Linked DNA regions of Drosophila melanogaster. The protein of the gene in region 1 interacts with the protein of each later gene in a pairwise test. Each region holds a gene or a part of one and is shown in the gene's direction. Other genes may lie near its edges.

Evidence for each region.
Region 2: the proteins of Hr78 (region 1) and Optix interact in a two-hybrid assay, tested with the Drosophila melanogaster proteins (one large-scale study listed by BioGRID).
Region 3: the proteins of Hr78 (region 1) and fd3F interact in a two-hybrid assay, tested with the Drosophila melanogaster proteins (one large-scale study listed by BioGRID).
Region 4: the proteins of Hr78 (region 1) and CG11085 interact in a two-hybrid assay, tested with the Drosophila melanogaster proteins (one large-scale study listed by BioGRID).

Annotation. Positions count from the first base shown.
Region 1 is NT_037436.4:21,493,512-21,499,096, reverse strand, and holds Hr78 (Hormone-receptor-like in 78), read left to right. Parts: upstream 1-1,602; 5' UTR 1,603-1,806; intron 1,807-1,913; exon of another isoform or gene 1,914-1,954; intron 1,955-2,075; exon of another isoform or gene 2,076-2,189; 5' UTR 2,190-2,237; coding exon 2,238-2,277; exon of another isoform or gene 2,278-2,355; coding exon 2,356-2,676; exon of another isoform or gene 2,677-2,704; intron 2,705-3,228; coding exon 3,229-3,498; intron 3,499-3,616; coding exon 3,617-4,791; 3' UTR 4,792-5,078; downstream 5,079-5,585. Other genes in the region: Glg1 (golgi complex-localized glycoprotein 1), read left to right, coding at 605-882; CG7519 (uncharacterized protein), read right to left, coding at 5,315-5,585.
Region 2 is NT_033778.4:8,029,746-8,034,622, forward strand, and holds the start of Optix (optix), read left to right. Parts: upstream 1-1,847; 5' UTR 1,848-2,212; coding exon 2,213-2,499; intron 2,500-3,559; coding exon 3,560-3,678; intron 3,679-4,545; coding exon 4,546-4,795; intron 4,796-4,877. UniProt on the Drosophila melanogaster protein: May be involved in head or eye development; development of the clypeolabrum and several head sensory organs.
Region 3 is NC_004354.4:3,800,481-3,805,341, forward strand, and holds the start of fd3F (forkhead domain 3F), read left to right. Parts: upstream 1-1,835; 5' UTR 1,836-2,076; coding exon 2,077-3,269; intron 3,270-3,745; coding exon 3,746-3,841; intron 3,842-4,861. Other genes in the region: HIP (Hsc/Hsp70-interacting protein), read left to right, coding at 1-5, 80-271.
Region 4 is NC_004354.4:12,614,555-12,621,762, forward strand, and holds CG11085 (uncharacterized protein), read left to right. Parts: upstream 1-1,761; 5' UTR 1,762-2,122; coding exon 2,123-2,195; intron 2,196-5,097; coding exon 5,098-5,659; intron 5,660-6,114; coding exon 6,115-6,367; 3' UTR 6,368-6,662; downstream 6,663-7,208. Other genes in the region: Fpgs1 (folylpolyglutamate synthase 1), read left to right, coding at 1-296, 363-783.

The DNA of each region.
Region 1 (5,585 bases):
CAATGCATGAGCATACGTGTGCACACATAAAGTTGTCTGCTATCACTGTATGCGTAGAAAAGAGCGGTTCGCTGTAGCGCTCTTCGCTCTCTCGCTCTCTAACAAAAATTCGAGAGAGCCTGGAGCCACCTCTAGAGCCACGGCCAAAAAATCGTGTGCCAAAAAATCGTATGGCGTTACGCATCTTGTTATTCTAGGGTCTTTGGCCAGGCCATCAGCCAGGGGGGGCAGATAGTAGAATTCCTCTTCCTACACTGGAAACTCTTAGTGAAAGCACCTATCAAACAGCTTATGTATTTGAAGCAGATCGATATAATTGGAGGCAGATTGACTAAGAGAATAAGAACAGTACATAGTGTAAATAAACAACGGGAAGTTACGTGATAGGCAGCAAATTATGAAATTTCTTGAACATTCCTTTTTGGTGCAGGGGGGTGTGTGTGTGTGTGTGTGTGTGTGTGTGTGTGTGTGTGTGTGTGTGTGTGTGTGTGTGTGTGTGTGTGTGTGTGTGTGTGTGTGTGTGTGTGTGTGTGTGTGTGTGTGTGTGTGTGTGGTTGGTGTGGTTATAAATATAATAATTAATGTTTTTCTCTCTATGTTCTAGAACTTAATTGCTTAAGGACGCTGCTGAAGGATACGCCGAACTCGTTAGAGGCGGACTGCCGAGAAAAGCTGCAGCGACGCATAGAGATGTTCAGGAACGCAGACGACACGTTGGCGCTTCCGCCCGAGGATGTGCAGCAGCTAGTGCAACAAGTCGTCGCCTCTCCGGCGCGGAAATTCTTCCTTGTGATACTAATGAGCGCCACGGGCCTGGTCTTCCTCACCGGCATCTTCCTGGGACGGGCCACCAAACGGGCAATGGGCTTAAAGAATAAATAATTGAAATATTAGACTGTAGTGGCACTGTGTAGGCGGAGTGTGCATGTTTGTGAGCTTGCTGATTTCCATTTCGGCCCATCCATGACCCCATTCCGAAACCCAGAAGTATACTTTCACTCAACCCTGTCTGCCTTTCGATATTTGTGTGAGCAATTTGTGGCTTAGTCGTTTGTAAGACCAAAAAATACGCGAGAAAGGAGAACACAATCAAATATACTAGTTCCATTCTTAGGGCTCTTTTCGTTATAGCTTTTTTGTAACAATTTCACTTGTATATTAAATTGTATTTTTGTAAACAAAAGCCCCTTCTTTTTAACTATATCCACATGGAAGGCATCAACAGATGTTTCTCTTTGGATCAATACCAGAGCGCTAATACGGCAGAGCGCCTAGTTTTGAGTACAAAAGTTAAGTAAAAACTTGGGATAGGCTTATCAATTTAATCAAATAGCCAAGGTAACTCAAAGTATAAAATTTAATATTATGTCCTTGTGGGCTTATGAGAATTAAAATTTGTGTTAATTGATTAAGCTTGACTCTAATTTGTACCCTAGACACGCCTTTGTTATTATTGATATTAGTAATTCTATTATTATCCTTTGTTTTACGTTAAAAATTACAATTTCAACGAACTGTAGCTCTACAGGTGTTTTGGTATATTTGCACAATGAGCTGCCTTTTTTTAGTATATGGGACCGGATGGTATGTTGAAAGAGCCCAACTGCGGTCACACTGCTCGCAAGTGAATTGGAACAAGGAGATTTTATTGCGTTAGAAAAGGTTCAAAATAGGCACAAAGTGCCTGAAAATATCGTAACTGACCGGAAGTAACATAACTTTAACCAAGTGCCTCGAAAAATAGATGTTTTTAAAAGCTCAAGAATGGTGATAACAGACGTCCAATAAGAATTTTCAAAGAGCCAAGTAAGCAAGACCAATTCATTCACATCACAGGCACCCACACAGATGCAGCCAAAACAGGTTCTATTAAAATAGCTCTGGCTACGTTAGCTACAGCTGCGTCCAAAATAGTAGCACTTTTGTTGGCAGCAGCAACGGTGTTTTATATTGCGTAAAATTCAATGATTTATTTTTTGAAAACATCAATATAATATATTATAATACATTTATTATTATTATTATTATTATCTACTATATAAATATATTTTGTGATAGAATTAACCACCTCATACCTCTCTTTTCGGCTCGTAATTCCTTTATTCTAGACACACTCCATATTTATCTCTTCTCTACTTTATATTGCAAGTAAAATTTAAATTACATATGTGAAGATGTTTGGGTTTCAGTTATTTATACAGCCGACGACTATTTTTTAGCCGCCTGCTGTGGCGACAATGGACGGCGTTAAGGTTGAGACGTTCATCAAAAGCGAAGGTGAGTCCAATCACCCGAGCCATGCCACCTTGGAGCCCATTCTAACGCGACTGTTGCCATTGCCCTCTGACCTTGCAGAAAACCGAGCGATGCCCTTGATCGGAGGAGGCAGTGCCTCAGGCGGCACTCCTCTGCCAGGAGGCGGCGTGGGAATGGGAGCCGGAGCATCCGCAACGTTGAGCGTGGAGCTGTGTTTGGTGTGCGGGGACCGCGCCTCCGGGCGGCACTACGGAGCCATAAGCTGCGAAGGCTGCAAGGGATTCTTCAAGCGCTCGATCCGGAAGCAGCTGGGCTACCAGTGTCGCGGGGCTATGAACTGCGAGGTCACCAAGCACCACAGGAATCGGTGCCAGTTCTGTCGACTACAGAAGTGCCTGGCCAGCGGCATGCGAAGTGATTGTAATTTTCGTTTAAGTCGTCGTCTCAAGCTATAACCAATCTCTGGCCTGGCCAGAGTCTACGTGCTCCAGCAGGCTTTAGCAGAATTGCATTGTAGAAATTAGGAGATATCATATATGTAGCATTTAACTCTGACAAGTAATGAAACGTTATCGATTCACAGGAACTCAGTTTCCCAGAGCTTAATCAAGAACTGGTTGGATGATCTCCAATTCGAATTGGACTCAAAGATAAATAGTCTAATCTAGAGAAAGTTCAATTTCAATTGAATTCAATTCAATTTTCGTCTGTGAAGTGCATTTTACACCAAGTAATCACGTGAATCTAATTGCATCCCAGTGTTTGCTTCTGTAACGTGAATATCCACTTCAGTAACTTGCACATCTTAAAACTGCAGCGGCGGAGGCACAAAAGATTCCCAGCCTGCACGAACATTAACCAATTCACCCACTTACTCACCATCACCTCGCTTTGAAAATCATCAAACCGCATCCTCACCTCACTTCTCGCTCTAATTAATTGCCTTCCGTTCTCATCAACTTTTGTTCACAGCTGTGCAGCACGAGAGGAAACCGATTGTGGACAGGAAGGAGGGGATCATCGCTGCTGCCGGTAGCTCATCCACTTCTGGCGGCGGTAATGGCTCGTCCACCTACCTATCCGGCAAGTCCGGCTATCAGCAGGGGCGTGGCAAGGGGCACAGTGTAAAGGCCGAATCCGCGGCCACGCCTCCAGTGCACAGCGCGCCAGCAACGGCCTTCAATTTGAATGAGAATATATTCCCGATGGGTTTGAATTTCGCAGAACTAACGCAGACATTGAGTAAGTTGAACTTTGATTTACATTCTGGTTGGTCATATATACTTAACTGCCATGATTGATCCATATTTAACTTCTTTTAAACGAATTCACCATTAATAATCTCCTATTGACTTTGCAGTGTTCGCTACCCAACAGCAGCAGCAACAACAGCAACAGCATCAACAGAGTGGTAGCTATTCGCCAGATATTCCGAAGGCAGATCCCGAGGATGACGAGGACGACTCAATGGACAACAGCAGCACGCTGTGCTTGCAGTTGCTCGCCAACAGCGCCAGCAACAACAACTCGCAGCACCTGAACTTTAATGCTGGGGAAGTACCCACCGCTCTGCCTACCACCTCGACAATGGGGCTTATTCAGAGTTCGCTGGACATGCGGGTCATCCACAAGGGACTGCAGATCCTGCAGCCCATCCAAAACCAACTGGAGCGAAATGGTAATCTGAGTGTGAAGCCCGAGTGCGATTCAGAGGCGGAGGACAGTGGCACCGAGGATGCCGTAGACGCGGAGCTGGAGCACATGGAACTAGACTTTGAGTGCGGTGGGAACCGAAGCGGTGGAAGCGATTTTGCTATCAATGAGGCGGTCTTTGAACAGGATCTTCTCACCGATGTGCAGTGTGCCTTTCATGTGCAACCGCCGACTTTGGTCCACTCGTATTTAAATATTCATTATGTGTGTGAGACGGGCTCGCGAATCATTTTTCTCACCATCCATACCCTTCGAAAGGTTCCAGTTTTCGAACAATTGGAAGCCCATACACAGGTGAAACTCCTGAGAGGAGTGTGGCCAGCATTAATGGCTATAGCTTTGGCGCAGTGTCAGGGTCAGCTTTCGGTGCCCACCATTATCGGGCAGTTTATTCAAAGCACTCGCCAGCTAGCGGATATCGATAAGATCGAACCGTTGAAGATCTCGAAGATGGCAAATCTCACCAGGACCCTGCACGACTTTGTCCAGGAGCTCCAGTCACTGGATGTTACTGATATGGAGTTTGGCTTGCTGCGTCTGATCTTGCTCTTCAATCCAACGCTCTTGCAGCAGCGCAAGGAGCGGTCGTTGCGAGGCTACGTCCGCAGAGTCCAACTCTACGCTCTGTCAAGTTTGAGAAGGCAGGGTGGCATCGGCGGCGGCGAGGAGCGCTTTAATGTTCTGGTGGCTCGCCTTCTTCCGCTCAGCAGCCTGGACGCAGAGGCCATGGAGGAGCTGTTCTTCGCCAACTTGGTGGGGCAGATGCAGATGGATGCTCTTATTCCGTTCATACTGATGACCAGCAACACCAGTGGACTGTAGGCGGAATTGAGAAGAACAGGGCGCAAGCAGATTCGCTAGACTGCCCAAAAGCAAGACTGAAGATGGACCAAGTGCGGGCAATACATGTAGCAACTAGGCAAATCCCATTAATTATATATTTAATATATACAATATATAGTTTAGGATACAATATTCTAACATAAAACCATGGGTTTATTGTTGTTCACAGATAAAATGGAATCGATTTCCCAATAAAAGCGAATATGTTTTTAAACAGAATGTTTGCATCAGAACTTTGAGATGTATACATTAGATTATTACAACACAACTTTGATCAAATGTTAATCTAATTTTTATTAAAGATGTGGATCTCATCCCACAGATTGGCAGAAAGCAGAATACAAAGTCAAGAAATGGCAACGTGTAGGGAACAATTTAAAGGCGGTCGTTATATTTTTATTTTTTGTATAAAAATAATTTGATTGTTTACTAAAGTAGATAGACGAACTGCAGCTAAATATGCATCCAGTCTTTACAACTTAATCTAAGCTAGAGCGAGGGATTACTGTTCCTCTTCGGGTACCTTTCTGGCGGGCTTGTGCTTCTCGTAAGCCTCATCGTTGAGTCCCTCCCGATTCCGGGCAATCTCGATGGCCAGAAACTGGACGCGAAACACGAAGATAGAGTTGTCCGGGGAGAATTCCCTGCTGGCATCGGCGCGCATCAGGGTGCCATACGAGTAATCGTCCAACTTGTTAAACTTCTCGGCGAACTGGCGCCACTTGAGCTTCGCCGTGGCGGATTTGAGAATATCATCGGTAAGCCGGCCAACG
Region 2 (4,877 bases), on another chromosome or scaffold:
GTAAACAACTAATCTGTTAACACTCCGGACAAAAGCGCGAACGATACATTAGCGTGTGCCCTGTCCGCGCCGAACACCGCCCACCTCCAAGCCATCCCCTCCTCCTCCTGGCTATTTCCGGATCCTGTCAAACACGGAGCATGATGAAGCACCAAGACCCGACAACCAACACTACTGACAGCGCCACAATAAAAACTTTTGCTCGTGAATATTTTGCCCCATTCGACGGGCATAATCAAAAGTTCCCTTTGCCAAAATGAAAACGTGATTTTCTCCTTGGTCATATATATGTGCATATAAATGGCGGATGAGAGGGCTGGAGGTTCGTCCTGGCACAAGGATATGGCTTACAGTGAGCGAGAGTAGGGGCTTCAGAAAGGGGGAAATGGCATGGGAAGAGAAGGGCAGAGGAAGGAGCGGCGGCAGAGGTTGCCAGACCACATGGTGTCAAACATTTTGCTACACTTATACAATATGCTTCACTTACCGTGATGCGAAATCAATGAAAAGCGGATCCAAGTTTCGACTAAGTTAGATCAGTTAATTTGTAACTTTTTTTTCGTATGTGCTACCTCTCTTAAGTTATGTTGTTAACAAATAAGCGAATTAGGTTTATAAGAAATATACAGATACAAAAGAAAGCGTTTTTAACAACATGACCTATAAATGTTACGGTTTATGAAAATCTACAAGGCCAAAATAAGCATTTACTGAAGTGCGTGTGTATAAACAACTTGATATATTGAAAAACATTCATATAACCGTGCGATCTTGACTCTGGCAATTCTTTCTTCCAACTTGTATCGTGCTTGTGATCAATGACTTGACAGAATATCTTTAGTAAATAAAGACCCTCGAATTTTCCACGGCATATAAACATAATCCAGCTGATCTCGCCCCACTGTGCGGCTGTGCTCGGCTGCCCGGCTGCTGCGTTCTGCCGGGTTGTTTTATTTGATTTCTTTATCAATATCTGAGCTGCCGTGCCTGCAGCTCACCCCCTCGGTGGCGTTACCCAGCCCTACTACTGCCGCCACAACGTTCGTAACCCCTATTCAACGAGCCGTTGTTATCCTGGAACTGGAACTGCAACAGTATTAGTTGCTGTGCACCAGTGTACGTGCGACTCTTATGTACGATTCATTTAAACGAGACCCATGAAGGCGATGCCACCACCGCATAAAGGAGAAAAGGAGACAGCTGTCGAGAGTGGCGCCATTGCATGGCCGTGTGCCAGAGCGAGACGTACGTACGTCAACGAGCAGTGACGACCACGCCCACCCCGTGGTAGTGGTGCCTATGGTATGGTGGTGCGTCGTAGTATCCGTATCCGCATCTGTTCGCGTATCTTTATCTGTGTGTGCGGCAAACTGGTTGTGGCCTGGTATTGGTGCCAACTCGTTTCTGTTTCCATATCTCGGCCCGTATCTGTGTCCGCAGCTGTATCTGTATCTGTAGCTGTATCTTTATCTGTATCCGTGTCTGCAGCTGGCAAGCAGTAGCAGTGGCAGCCGGAGAGCTGAGCCGAGCCGCCAGCCAGAGTATCTGTATCTGTGGCGCGTCATTGTTGTGCTGCTACTGCCGCTACTGCCGCTGCTGCTGCCTCTGCCGATTGAGCTCCATTGCCATAGCTTCTATAGCCTCTATAGCGTGTATAGCTTCTGTGCCGTTCCCGTCGCCTAGTGGGCAGCTCAGTTACAAGACCATTATTTGACGTATTTTTTGCGCGCTCGGTTGGCCGTTTGGTTGGTCGCTCTCTCGCTCGCTGGATCGTATCGCACCACACCGAACCGCATCGGTTATATCCATTGCCAAAGGCCCCCTTTATCGCCTCGATGTGGAGCAGCAGTTGCGCTCCGTTCGTGGTCCGGGCACGGGTATCGCATTCATGAGCTGGCTCATTGGCAATCATTTGGATTCGTACGCCAGTCGAACCGGTGGCCACCTCACACATCCAGACGGCCAGATGCCCTCGATCGCGCGTGCAAAGTGCTAACCCCAAACCAATCAGTAAAACCTTATCGAGGCGGACTGAATCGAGTCGGATCAAGCCACCCAAGTGCTAGTGAACACATCAAAAAAAAAAAAAAAAAAAACGAATAACAGCCAAGGAATTGAATTAGTGACTAAACCAGTGTAGTGCCCAGCAAGATTGCTTCGTTCCGGTGGAGAATAGTATGCCAATTTGTTCACAGTGGATTCAACGAATAAAATGGCCGTTGGACCGACGGAGGGCAAACAGCCGCCCTCAGAGAGCTTCTCGCCCACGCACCACCAGATTATAGCACCCAGCCCCATCCTGGCCGTTCCAACGCTGGCCTTCTCCGCCGCCCAGGTGGAGATCGTTTGCAAGACGCTCGAGGACTCCGGCGACATCGAGCGGTTGGCCCGCTTCCTCTGGAGCCTGCCGGTGGCCCTGCCCAACATGCACGAGATCCTCAACTGCGAGGCGGTGCTCCGTGCCCGCGCAGTGGTCGCCTACCATGTGGGCAACTTCAGGTAGGAATCCGCCACACACAAAAGCCCCCTGCTTGAATGACACTCTCTGGGAAGATCAGAAAACCAAAAACCAAAAAAAAAAACAGAAAACCAGTCAGCCAGAGTCCCAGCCTCCTGTCCTGATTAACCCCGACAACCGACATCCGATAGTTTTGCACAGCGACAGCTTAATGAGGGCACAATGAGCCGCTAAATTAATAAACAATGGCATTAATTTACTAATTAAAGAACTCGCTGCTGCCCAAAGCCAAGTGGAGCAGGCTTGATTAATAAAACACCGACCGAACAATAGGTTCCACGCCAGGATCGGGGTTTCGGCTTCCGTCGCCACGACATTCTAAGTTCTCACATTTCACGGGGGCTTCTAAGACAACCGGAAACAATTCGCTCGAATGGTGAATTTTGCAATAGGCCCTCGCAAACGATGACGAAAGATTAGCTTACCCATGGTATCTCCGAGATAGACTTAGCCTTGTGATCTTCGCCTAGACGAATCGGCCATTTGCCGCGTCTCGAAGTGGGCAAAACAGGTCCCCTGGCAATCGATATCGACAATTATCCGATCGGCTCAGGCAATCACAACTATAAACGGTTGCATCAGGTTTTGCATCTCATCTGACTGCAGCTCGAGCACACGGCCGTGTAATTCGAGTATAATCAATCAATGTCCAGATACAGTACATATATGGCCTGTTCGTGCATATACTCTTACGGATCTGGCGATGCTATGCAAGTGATTTGATTGCTTTGACTTGGTAAATAAACGACTTCCAATTAAAACCATTTGACGTACTCAACCGAGCTGTCAGCACCAGTGACGACAATAAATGCTTATGAAATTGTTTCAAAATACATATGGACGCCTGTCGAGCGTCGAGTGTCGAGGGGTGTAGAAACTCGGAGGCGGGGATGGCTTTCGCAGCGGGAAGTCCCAAGTGTCCCAAAAGTCCAAAGGACCCAGGGGTGGTTGATGGGGTTGAAATCGTGATGGCAAATTCAGCGCATTAACTTTAAGCTCAACTCCGGATACTAACACTCACACTGGACCACCTCTTTTCAGGGAACTTTATGCAATAATAGAGAATCATAAGTTTACTAAGGCGTCCTACGGCAAACTGCAGGCCATGTGGCTGGAGGCCCACTACATTGAGGCCGAGAAGCTGCGCGGTCGATCACTGGGTGAGTAAGGCATTCACTTCCAAGATAGATGTCGTGATAAAATGCTGAAAAAAATATGAGGGAATTTCAAACACAAACGTAGAAATACAAGTTTAAGTTTTACTATAACACCACGAAATGTTTTCATTAAGCATATTGATTACACATATTTGTTATTTCAAATGCATTGAAAAGCGGTCGAATAAATACTAAACGTGTTTTAGAAAATCCGATCATAGTAATAAGAAGGATTAACAGATTATTTATAATTCTAATTGTATTATTGACTCAGTTAAATGACTAAAACAGAGCTTACTTTAAATTCGATACTTAAAAAGTCGTCACTGAACATCGATTCAAAGTGTTTGAACAATTTTTGATATTTAGCTAATTCTCTAACTGTATGTATTGGGTATAGACCAGTTTTTCAGTGCTTAATTATGTAATGATTATGTAATAACATATTCAGAAATTTACGCTCGTATATTTTACTTTAAGATGTTCAAACCAGTTTTACAAATATTTTTCATAATTGTTACTTGTAATATTTCTTTGATATTTTACGATGATATTTACAATCCAAGTAACAAATAAAGCAATACAATTGTTTTTGAATATATAATAGACACACTTTAAACTCGCTGTTTAAAACGATCCTTTTAGAAAAAACTTGAATGAAATCGAATAATCAGTACACAAATAGTTGATGTAAAAAAATCTCTAATGAATTGTAGCAATCAAGACAATTGTTTTTAGAGCGAGGAGTTTCAAACTCCCTAATGAAAATTTCAGAAAGCTATTGCCAGCATTTGTTCAAACAAAACTACTGTAAAATTAGACAAAAATTAAAATTATTTTAATTAATCCAATTGCAATTGAAACTTGCAGGCCCCGTGGACAAGTATCGGGTGCGAAAGAAGTTCCCCCTGCCGCCGACGATCTGGGATGGCGAGCAGAAGACGCACTGCTTCAAGGAGCGCACGCGGAGCCTACTGCGCGAATGGTACCTACAGGATCCCTACCCGAATCCCACCAAGAAGCGGGAGCTGGCCAAGGCCACCGGCCTGAATCCCACGCAAGTGGGCAACTGGTTCAAGAACCGCCGCCAGCGGGATCGGGCTGCTGCGGCCAAGAATCGGTAAGTTATCGACCATGGACCGCTTCAATTAGCCATTGGAGTTGGGAGTTAGACGGGTCTGGGGTCTGGGCCCTGGATGGGC
Region 3 (4,861 bases), on another chromosome or scaffold:
TTCAGGTTCGTGAATACTACTTTTCTATTTCTAATACAAATGCAGTAATCATATCGTTGTTATTTATTAACTTTCGTAGGACATTTTGTCAAATCCGGGTAACATCACAAAGTACGCGTCGAACCCGAAGATATACAACCTTATCAAGAAGATTGTGCCCGGTGGAGATGTGGGTGCTGCCTTTGGCCAAGCGGGTGAAAAGGCTGGAAAGCCGAGCGAGCCTAAGCCTAAAAAGGATTCCGCCGACTTCGTCGATGACGGTTTGGACTAAGGTTTAGAAATGGGGCAGTAGTAAGACTGAAACATGCGTCGATAAAAAGAAGTTAACAAACAATTACACGAAATCGAGCGAGATTACAAAACAACAAAGAAAGAGAAAGCAACAGAGTGCGGGGAAGAAGATGGACTACACGAAAAACAAAAGGGAAAGCAACTGCCTTACACATTTTTGCAGCTGGGAAAAAACAAACATTTCCTAAGCTTTAACTTAACCAACACGTAAAAGAACGGGCGACAATGGAGAAAATTCAAATATTCAAAATACTACAAGCAGTCAGAAGAATAAGCAACATTTATTTAAATCGAGAAGAAAGAGATGTTGGAGATGCTGGAGACGCTTCTTCACATATTATTGAAAAGCATACTTGCGGCCATTAAAGTGGCAAATGAAACTATACAAAGGAGCTAGAATATGCTTAAAAACTTCACATTTGCAGTTCACAGGTAAATCAAAAGATTGTCCTGTAACGAACAAAACATGAATGTTTAGACGTCAAGTCAGATTCAAGGGTGCCGATCGATCTAGTTGAACTAAAGCTCGAGAAACAACCAAAAGAAAATAAAAAATATATATATGTTCAATAATATTAGCCTAAATTACCGAGAACGAAGAAACGGATAAAACTAATCGCATCATTTGGTCAAACAAAATTGTACTGAGTAGGATTTAAATCATATTGTATGCAAATGCATTTAGCCCCCCAACATGAAAGCAATCGCCCATTCATTCACACACTCATTCACACACTCATTCACACACTCATTCAACCAGTGATCAATGGAAATAAATAAACGAATCAACAAGAACCCGAATTGCTAATGTCCATATTTTTTGGTAAACGGGTAAAAGGGGAGATACTTTTGCTTTTTTTTCGAGCGGGTTGAACAGATGGAGCCGTAGTCCCTTAAACTATCCGGCGCATCACCTGTGTGGGTTGCTCACTTTGTATGAAGTACATTGGGTACGCATGGTGTATGAAAGCGTCGATTAGACGCTTCAATGGCTGCACCCTGCACCCTGGATCCAGAACCTATCTACCGCACCCCGCCCCATGTCAGCGCGAAATTGGCTAACGGACAGCTTGGCGCACATGTTCGATTATGGCCAAATCGAGCGACCAAGCAGAACCAGCGGCACATGACCTGGGCTCAGCGATGCCAAGACCTGGGTGGTTGTACCTAGAGGTACTTGATTGCTTTTTAAACTCAGCTTGGTACAGCGTACACGACTGATTATTTAGAAGCTATGACAGCTTTCTTTGCTTTGATATTTTTCATATTTATATATAAATTATAAATATATATTTATAAGCAGGTGATATGGTTGAAACATATATCAACGAATATGTCAAATATAATACAGTGAAGTGTCTGCATTATTTTATTGTACCTGCGCCATCACAGGTACGGCTCCTCTTTCCATCGACTGCAGACGTACCGCTTATGTGCATGACTGGGTGTCCGGGGTGGTGGATGTGAATGTGGATGAGTGGCAGGAGGGCGCAGGCGCAGCTCAGCCCAACAGCCAAGTTGGTCTGGACTCCTGGCGGCCCATCGCATTCCGTGGCCAGTCGCAGCGCGAGACGGTTAGCCAGTTAGCCAGTGCGGACCGACTAATTCCCAATTTCCGCTCTTGACTAAACTAAAGATTGAGAAATAAAGAAAGAAATATCCTTCGTCCGTCCCCCAGACGAAGCAGGTCAATTTTTTTTTCGTGTTACTTGCTCTTTTTCGCCAAGTGTGAGTTGTGTGTTTTGGCTTGGCTAACGTGATTGAAATCGAGACAGCCGGGACATCATGATTGTCAACATGCCCGTCAATGGAACGGGCAGTGCATCCAGCCCAACATCGAATCCCAGCAGCAACAACAACAACAATAGCAGTACCACCAATCAAAATGATACGAACACTAATCTTCCCGGTGATTACAACTTTCTTAAGCGCAAGTTCGACGATCAGGAGGATTTGGCTTTGGGCCACGACTACGAGCCCATCGGGGCAAATCCCTGGAAGAAGCGACACTTGGACTACGATGCCGGGGACCTGCACTTCCACCTGCAGCTGGAACAGCCACCTAGTAATCCGCCAACCAACGCTGCACCCGCCCAATCCTCGACGTCCTTCATCAACGATCTCTTTTCCTATGAGAGCAGTCTTCTGGTGCCCGCCGTCGCCTATTCGCACTGTCCACCATCGAGTGCTCCATTGGATGACAATGGTGGTTGGACCGGTGGCGAGCTGCTGGAGCTGGATCATCGTTATAACTCCGGCCTGCAGGCGGAACTGGGGCAATTGAATGCCACTTTGCCGCCGCCACCACCAACATCATCATCAGCTCAAAATGCATCCAATCATACGCAGCAGTCAACACAACAGAATGTCAGTCCTGGTCAGAACCCACATCAGAATCAACATTTTCTGGTGCCGCAGAAGCAGCGGATACAGTCGGCGGGCCGACGCACCTCATCCGGTTCGGTTAGTGGGGCCAATGAAGCCACCGAGGCGGACTTCGAGGATAAGAACCTCTCGTGGCTGCTCAACTTTAAGTTCGACGAGTTCCCGCACCTATCGCCGCACAATCAGATTCACGGACAGGCGGTCAATCTGCCGGAGGGCAGTGCTCCACCTCATCCACCATCGACGGCAGTGCCGATCGCCACGTCGCCCTGCAGTTCCTCCTCGCCATCATCCGCCTCCGCCGCATCGGCATCCGCATCCGCCATAAGCACAAATCAATCTCTCGGATCGGGTTTGGTGGATCAACGGGCCAGATCGCCCAAGAGTTGCTCCAGTGCAGCGATGCCAGCGGCATTAGGAGGAGGAGGCAACGGCTCCGCTGGCGCTTCAGCAGCGGGGGGCGTGGCCGGCGTGGGCTCCACCAAGACTGGGCGCAAGTTCGAGGAGCTGGTGATGGAGGTCACCTCGGAGTTGGACGGTAACGACATGATAGTTGCCGAGCACGTTGTCGTCGAGGATACTTCGTCCAAGGCGTAAGTGTTGCAGAAATAAAACAATATGACAGTGTCAACGGTTAAATTCTATATTTCCTAATTTATTTGAAACATCTATTTATTCCCGTTACTCATAGAGGAAAAGGGTATACTAGATTCGTTGAAGTATATATAAAATTTGTTGATCAGGATCAATTTTTAAATTTTTTTCTCATTTTATTCCCCAATATCTATCGACATCCCAGAAAGATGATTAAATTTCGCGTTCGCATTCACACTAGCTGAGTAACGGGTATCTGATAGTCGGGTAACTCGACTATAGCATTCTCTCTTTTGTTTTAATATATTTAACAATCTTTTTCTCTGATTTGTGCGTTCTCCATTTGCTTTCAATGCCGTCCTCCAATCGATGCCGCCAACGAATTTCCCCAACCACGCAATCGCCGATCCACTAAACCACCGAACCACCCACCAATGTGGCTGAAATCCAAAACCAACCACCGCAAAACAAGCAGGCCAAAGAAACCACCGTTCACCTACACGGAGCTCATCGAATACGCCCTCGAGGATAAGGGTGAGCTGACTGTGTCGGGCATATACCAATGGATATCGTAAGTACTGTCCCCCATCGAACCACCCACTGAATCAACCACCACCGCCCACCGCCCACCGCCCATTCGGATGGACGCCATTTTGTGGAGTGCTAGCCATCCTGTTATTTTTTTTGATGGCAAAAAACGCCAGCCAGGATGCAATTAAACAAATCTCAAGCATTTCGTTTTGGCCATTCCCGTTGGCCATTTGATTTCCTCGTTCGCTGGGTATTTCTTCTTACCATGTTTTCGTTCCTTGGTTGGTAACCAAACTTAAACAAAGTGCCACACACCGGCAAACAAACGATAGCGGCCACAATGAAAGTGCCAAAAGTTAGCAGCTCAAACAGATTTATGGGCTAGAAAATTGCATTTACCTTGCCTTCGCTCGCATAAGGTGAAAAACAAAAATGTTGTTAACCAAACTATTTGCGGGTTGTTCAACAAGTTGTTTATGCCAAACTGGTATTCCCTGGTATTATCAGCTTATACGGATAGCGACCCATTAATTTTGGCTTTTGGATTGTTTAGTGGCAATTGTTGAGTATACCAAATTCTTAGTTTTATGGTGATAAGTGCTTAATACGGCTCATTCCGTATTAGTTAATCATTCAATAGTATTCAAAACTAGTTAATCATTACCTACTTTTCGCAAAACGTTAAAATTTTCAAAATTCCATTTTTACCACGCTGAGTTCGAAAATATCAATTCGTCAAGAATCGCTGACGAAGAAAACAATAAGTTTTAACACATTTTTCAAGGTTCATCAATTTGGCCTTTCGCCCCCACTGCTCCCCACCTGTTTTTTGTTATTCATTTCTTTTGTTGTCTTCGAATACCCGGAATCAGTGTAAATATTTGATGCCGCAGCCGCGAATGTTGCGTGTAAATATCCTATATAAATTTACATATAAAACCACCCCGCTCGGGAGGGGGAGGCAAATAATTTATGACATTTGCCCATCACCTGCGCACCTGCACTCCTCACCACCCCCCCGCATTTAATGTAATGAATCGACAGTCCAAGAAGTTTCGGC
Region 4 (7,208 bases), on another chromosome or scaffold:
TTTCGATCGAAGGCATATGCTCCGATTTGGCAGACCTTCAGTAACTTAATTCGCCTAAATGGCTCATTGGCCATTCAATTGGCCCAAGATTGGTTGTCGCAGTCGGGAAAACAGCAGCACACTCCCAACGAGGTGAAAATGGATCCACAGCTGCTGGACGGACTGATTAGCACCCACTGGCCCGGTCGGTGCCAGCTAATCGAATGGCACGGGATGCGATTACATCTGGACGGAGCTCACACTCTGGAAAGCATGGAAGTGTGCACGGACTGGTTTGAAAAAAACGTGCGAGACAGGTGAGCGGAGTAGGAGGAGATGGTCCTATAATACATAACTGATTCGATTGACTTCCTCATTTGCAGTGTCAATCCAAAGATTCTGATCTTTAATCGCACCGGAGAATCCGGTTTCGCACCTCTGCTAAAGCTACTCAACCGCACCTGTGACTTTGACATGGTCTGCTTTGTGCCCAATTTGGCCACCTCAACGCCAAATGCTCCCAGCCAGGTGATGGTTCGTTTTAGTCCCGAAATGCAATTGAATCGGGCGAGGATCATTGCCTCAGCTTGGAGTGACCTCTGCGCAACGGAGCAAAAAAAAGATGTGGGTCAGGTGTATAATACGCTAACCGACGCTTTTACTGCCATCAGGCAAAGATTTCCACAAGCCACAGACAATGAGGGACAACTAGAGGTCCTCGTCACCGGTTCCATTCATCTGCTGGGAGCAGCTATAAGTGCCCTAGATCTTATCGATGATCCCAAATCTAGAACTGATAAATAAGACACATTCCTAACCAGGAGAACCGGCTGAAACACTGGGATTGCTATTAGATTAGCTATTAGATTTAGAAGTCGAAGCAAGCCACTTGCATATCACTTAGTGGAACTTTAACATGAATCGCTGAAAGCATCAGCTAATAAATGTAGTTGTAGTTAATAATAAAACAATATTTGAAATATTGTGTAGAAATAATAACCCTATGAAGTGTTTTATGCCCATTTTTAGTTAGCAGCAAACTTATGATTAATGGAATAAAAGTTTGCATATATAGTGTGTATGCCACAATACTTACTCACTAAATATTCAAAATGGGTGATTTTAAATCCTTACGGACATCGAACAGAGTTGCCAACTCGCCGACGGTGTTTCGTTGATTTCTGGTCCTTTTACCTTTTTACATACCACTTTGGTGCGTTTTAGAGCTCGTAACTCGTGCGACTGACGCAGATTTCAAAGGCGACATTAGACTGGGCCAAGGAAATGCGAGAGCTTTAAGGGTTGCTTTTTTCCCCGGGCCATTTAGGGGTGGCCCAGAATGACAGCCAATGGCGCGGCGGCAACCCTGGGCGAAGAGAGAGACAGCAAGCTGTTGTCCACCTGCTCTCCCACCGGGCTAACGGCAAACAAAATGGCTAACGGGACAGCGGAAGTCGGTGAGCGAGCGGGATGGCATGCTGCTGTTTTGTTGATGCTGTGTGTCTAAGGCAACTGATTAAATAACGGTTAAATGGCAGCGGCCATTGCGAAAGTTTCCTTTTTGTAGCTACATTTTTTTTCACTCATTTTGCTGTTGTTGTTGCTGGACTTTTCCTCTGCAAACGTCGACGTCGACGTGGGCGCTAAACTGTCCCGTTTACAGCAACAAATCCGCGTAATTCACTTGTGTGTGTGTGTGTGTGAGGGGTGAATCCTGGCGATGTTCGCTAAAAGGATTAATAAACGTTCGACGTTTCGCATTTCAGTTGTTCATTTGACTCGGCGCTTAGCGGTTCAGTTACAGTTACTTTCTGTCCGTCTGTCTGTGTGAATGTGTGTGTGCGTGTTTCGTACTGGAAAATTCGATTACGCGTAGAACAGATCGAAGGCGCAATTATAATCGCTAAATTTGCACAGCACTGCCGTCGGCCAAACGCCAAAGGATAAAATAAAAAGGGATCATCAAATAAAAGCCTTCAAAGCCACTTAACAAATAAACAAGGACAACGGATTAATTTTTGTTATTGTTGCAACGGGATTTCTAGTGCAAAATGTTTCAAATGTGCCAGTTACTTTGAAAATCTGATCTAAAACAAACACACTTAAGCACCGCTTTTGCCATAAGGACTGCAGATCCATCAAAATGCAGAGCTCAAAATCTTTTTTAATACGCGATCTTCTGGGCGATTTGATTAATCGACGACAAACAGATTCGGGTAAGTTTTGAAAATATTTTGTACCATTTAAGTCCTTTGAGGTATATCATTTACCATATTTATCGACTATATGATATATCTATGAAACCATAACAATTCTGCTACTATAACAAGTATCAAAATAAATATATTCCTTTATTGATAATAATTTGTTTCCTTAACTAGATATTATTTGTAAAAAGGAATATCTAGTTTATATCAGTTCTCTGCTAATAATAGATATATTTTTCAAAACAAACAATTTCGTAGCTCCATACTAATTGTAAATAACAAGACTTCCATGTAATTAAATATAACCTATCATTTTGCATACACCCACACATGTGAAATAAACATACATAATATAAACGCCTTTTTTGGCCAATTAGCCTGCTCATTGTTCCAATCTCCCGTTCTTTGATGTTTTGCTGTTGGCTGAGGGGTAAATAAGGGGAGTTTTTGGCTAAAACCACTGACAAATTGCCTTGCTCACTCTCTTTTGACGCCCCCAATTCTGTCATCTGTTTTTTTTTTTTCACCCGCCTGTGGCATTTAAATCTCACACTTTGCTCAATTATCGCAAAAACAAAAACTTTTAGCGGTGTGAGTGAGATGGCGATGAGAGCGAGTGGGATGGCTAGACAGCGGGTGAGCGAGAGGGGTTGAGTGGAAACAACAAAAACCACAGCTTCAGGCAGTAATTTATTTGTGCACTGCTTGCTTGCACCGAAAAATATTATTTTTCAATACGATATCTTGATTTTGTTTTATATTTATATATATCAAAAAATATGTTAGCTTCTGGAAAATTTAAGATTTCAATAGATTTGCTAATTATTGTCATTTTCCATATATTTTTTGATATACTTTATAGCCATATTTTCTGACTGTGTGAGTTTGGCAGTTAATAGTATTTTTGTTGCTGTTGACACTGCTTTATTCGTAACCTGCGCTCAAGCAATTTGTCACGTACGAGCACTTTAATTGTTTTTAGCCAGGGGATCGGAAACCGAAAGGGAAAATGTCGTGGTGGATGCGAATGCAAATGGGACTGAAAACTCAGTCATGACAAATGCTTTTGCATCCTCGCACAAGTACACAGAACAAATCGAATCGTGATCTTTACTAGTGTTAACTTTGAGTCAAGAAAATATAATAACACAAAAGTCATCTTCAAGTACTAAAGAAAAAATAAATTATTAAGGATATATATATAAAAAATATGCATAGATTAATATACTCATTCCACATTCGATTTAAATGGCTCTTTACATTTTTTCGCAGTGTACCGCCTGCGGTGCCCGCTTACGTATGCTTTGTTTTTTGGTTGGTTTGTGCCAACTGCATGTGTTATCCTCTAATTAGGCATGACATTAAATAAAGTTTAGCTCAACAATTACAACTATTTAGAGGCTAATTGCTGTCAGTTAGAGAGGATGAAAATGAAACTTTCACTGCAAGTATACCTTACGTTTCGATTTTGCCTAAAATCAATGCTAGTAACGGCATGGATAAATAAAAAAAAAAAGAAATTTGTATATTATTAGGACACACATACGTTATTCCAATGTCCAAATTGCCGGCACATGCGAGCCCATTTCACCCACTTTCTCCATCCAATACGACAAGTCACCGGCTTTCGCCTGTCTTCAATCTTCAGATGTGTGTCTCACAGTTCAAGTGCCTATTAAATGGCAATTGTGCCGCAAATTGATACGACGTGACTTTTCGAGAAAAATGAAAGAACTCACTCGAGACGCTCCCCAGGATATCCACACATAATTGAATATCCCCTCACATGCATAGACATATGTACAATACATATGTATATCCACCATCTACCCTTCCGTCCTGTCTGCGCAAATCGTTATAAATGGAATCAGATGTCGAAACCCATTTGGGGTTAAAATACACAAATATAAAAATAATTTCCGCCCGTTCAGTTGGCACTCCAGAAAGTGGGCAGAAAACATAGAAGAATCCTTGCTGGGCGAACACACGTGAGCGCCTGTGGCGAATCGAAAATTATGTTCTTCTAAAAAGTTGAGTGTTAAGTAAGCGCCACTGGGCAAAAAAATTGAGAAATTGTATTCATAATGTGCAAAAGTTGGTCGAGTGTTAAAAGGTTTCTATTTTTTTCCAATATAACTCTGGTTTTTATAAATAGAAAATAAATATATAAATGGCATTGAAAACGTATTTTATTCCGATATAAATAGTACGAAAAAGTTTTCTTTTGATTTTGTTTAAGAAAGTAAGTAAGTACTTGTAAGCGAAATATTTCTCTCAGTGCAGCGTGGAGCAGACCATGTAAATTCCAATAGGAAAAACAATTGAGAGCTCGTCGACACGTGAATTTAATCAGGCAGCCCGCAGCGTGCGATTTTCGAGTCCGGATTCGAGTCCGATTTGGGATTGTGTTCAGGATGCGATGTATGTATGTGCGACGGATATAAATAACATGTTGATTGCTGCAAATTGCAACTCATCCGATTCGCCGCCCCATCATCCAAACGGACCAACGCCCACTTGATTCTCCCATCCGATTTGATAGCACTTCATCCAATGCGATTGTCTATTGCATTGTGTGGTGTGGTGTGGTGTAGCAATGGGTTTCCCAGGTCGCTTCTCGACCGGAAGTGGTTGCACGCGCGAAAAGAAGAGGTTGAACGCATTAGTGCCACGCTGCGCCTGAAAACAGGCAACAGTGTCTTAAAGTCGGTATCTTTATACCGGCGTCCACTTGACACTCGGCCTGCACTCTGCACTCCAATTGAATCCACGAGTCGTGGTCAATCAAATTTTGAAAATTTTTAAATGAGTAGAAAGCCTATTGTTTGCATATAAAAACAGGATGTCTTTGGGATAATCTAACAAGTGCAACTACATTTTAATAATCCTCCCTTTGATTTCCTATTTCCAGAACTGGAGCTCTCCAACGACGATTCGGATATAGACATTGAGGATCGATCTACGCCGGACTCGACGGCTGCGGGCTGCCAGCAGGAGCTACTGCTGTCGCACCATCACCGCAGATTCACCCACCACGACGAATCCAGTGTGGAGTCCTGCCTATCGGCCACAAGGGGCCCCGGCTCTGGCACAGGATCGGGTGGTGGCGGAGGTGGTGGTGGTGGAGGAGGAGTAGCCAGCGGACTGAGCGCCGCTGCAGCGGCGGCGGGCGTGGCTGCTGGACTCCTGGCAGCGGCGGCCAGTGGTGCCAATGGGGATCGGGATGCCAACGGTGGCAGTGGCCCGGGATCCGGTGGCGGTACAAGTGGCGGCTATGCGGAGCACAAGCTGCAGCTGAGCAAAAGTGGCCGGAAGCCGCGACGCCGCCGAACCGCCTTCACCCACGCCCAGCTCGCCTACTTGGAGCGGAAGTTCCGGTGCCAGAAGTACCTGAGCGTGGCCGATCGCAGCGATGTGGCCGAAACGCTCAATCTGTCCGAGACGCAGGTGAAAACCTGGTACCAGAATCGCCGGTGAGTGTTGATCGAGAGCAAATCCCCAAGTTGGAAAGGAGCCACTTTATTAATTGCTTTTTAAATTAAAACGATAATGGATAATGAAACAATAAGTTTTGATTAGAAAAGAATCAAATATCTTCCATTCGCGGATAGAATAATGAACTATTTGATTTTGTTTCACTATTTTAAATTGCAGTAAGTACAGTTGCGCTCATAGTGCTTCAACCGATCGCAAACGTCTGGCAACGCAAAACCTTGTATTTTGCGCAGTACAAATTGTATTTTTAAGTATATACATATTAATATTAATAATGGCTTGTTATTATAGTTTACCAAAGCCAATTTTATGTTGAGTAAGATTACTAAAAAAATATAGAATTTATTGGTACAATCACGCTAAAGTGATCCCATATTCAATTCTAACCGTGTGGCAACGATTGTAAGCGCTTCATTTGCCTTTTCCATTGCAGGACCAAATGGAAGCGACAGAATCAACTGCGTCTGGAGCAGCTGCGTCATCAGGCGACCATGGAGAAGGATTTTGTGGTCCAGGATGGCGGCGGTGCGGGCGGACTCGGCTGCTGTCCCAGCGGACTGAGCAGTTCTTTTAGTGCCGCCGCCGCTGCTGCAGCGGCTGCCAGCAATCCTTGCAATTTTCTCACTTCCGCCGCAGCGGCGGCCATTTTCCGTAATGTCGGCTATGTCCACGGATGTCCCATGTAGGAGCCACGCCCCAAACTCTCCCATAATACCATTTTCCCCAGCTGCCTGTGTATATAATGCGTATGAAGAAAACCGTTTTTGTGCAATAACCGATCGGGACAAATTAATGAAAGTCAAGCGATGTGCTGATATTTACCAAGCATACCCGATATTATTATTATAATACGTACTTAACAATATAATCATAAAAATAAGCGTAGTCGAATTAATTAATTGTATTATAAAACTAAAAAATTTTTTTTTTCACATCGCACTCTATGGAATTTTTTTTTGGCCAGAATAAACATTCAATTGCAAGTCTTTAAGCGTTTTCACTTGGGAGGTGATCTAATTGAAATTAATTATAAAAAAACTTAATCAAAGCTAACTAGTATAAATAATAGGTCTTATTTACTTTACTGGTTTTGTTACAGAATTAAGCTCCATTTGCGAATAACAAATCAAACGTTCAACTTCCGATAAATTTGAGAAACGATAATGATCGATCACTAAAATCGATCGTTACCGATTGTTCAATTTTACCAAAAGTCTTTTATACATGTGCTGTGTTGGCTGCAATTTAATATTTAATAATTCACAAAGGAATCGAATGCAACGTATCGGTTAAATGCCGCTCGCCCATCTGCGTATCTGCAAATCGGTGAGCTGTGAGTCATGCTTGAAAATCAACTTGAGCGAATCGCACAAAACGATATCAATTTGTCGCTATATAGCAAATAGCCCGCGACATATGCCCACCCAACGGGCAGGATATCGCGTCTACAGCTACATATGTATATAGATCCACTCTATATATATTATTTGCATGGAGCTGTGAGAGAGAGGGCGATATAGAGTGAGA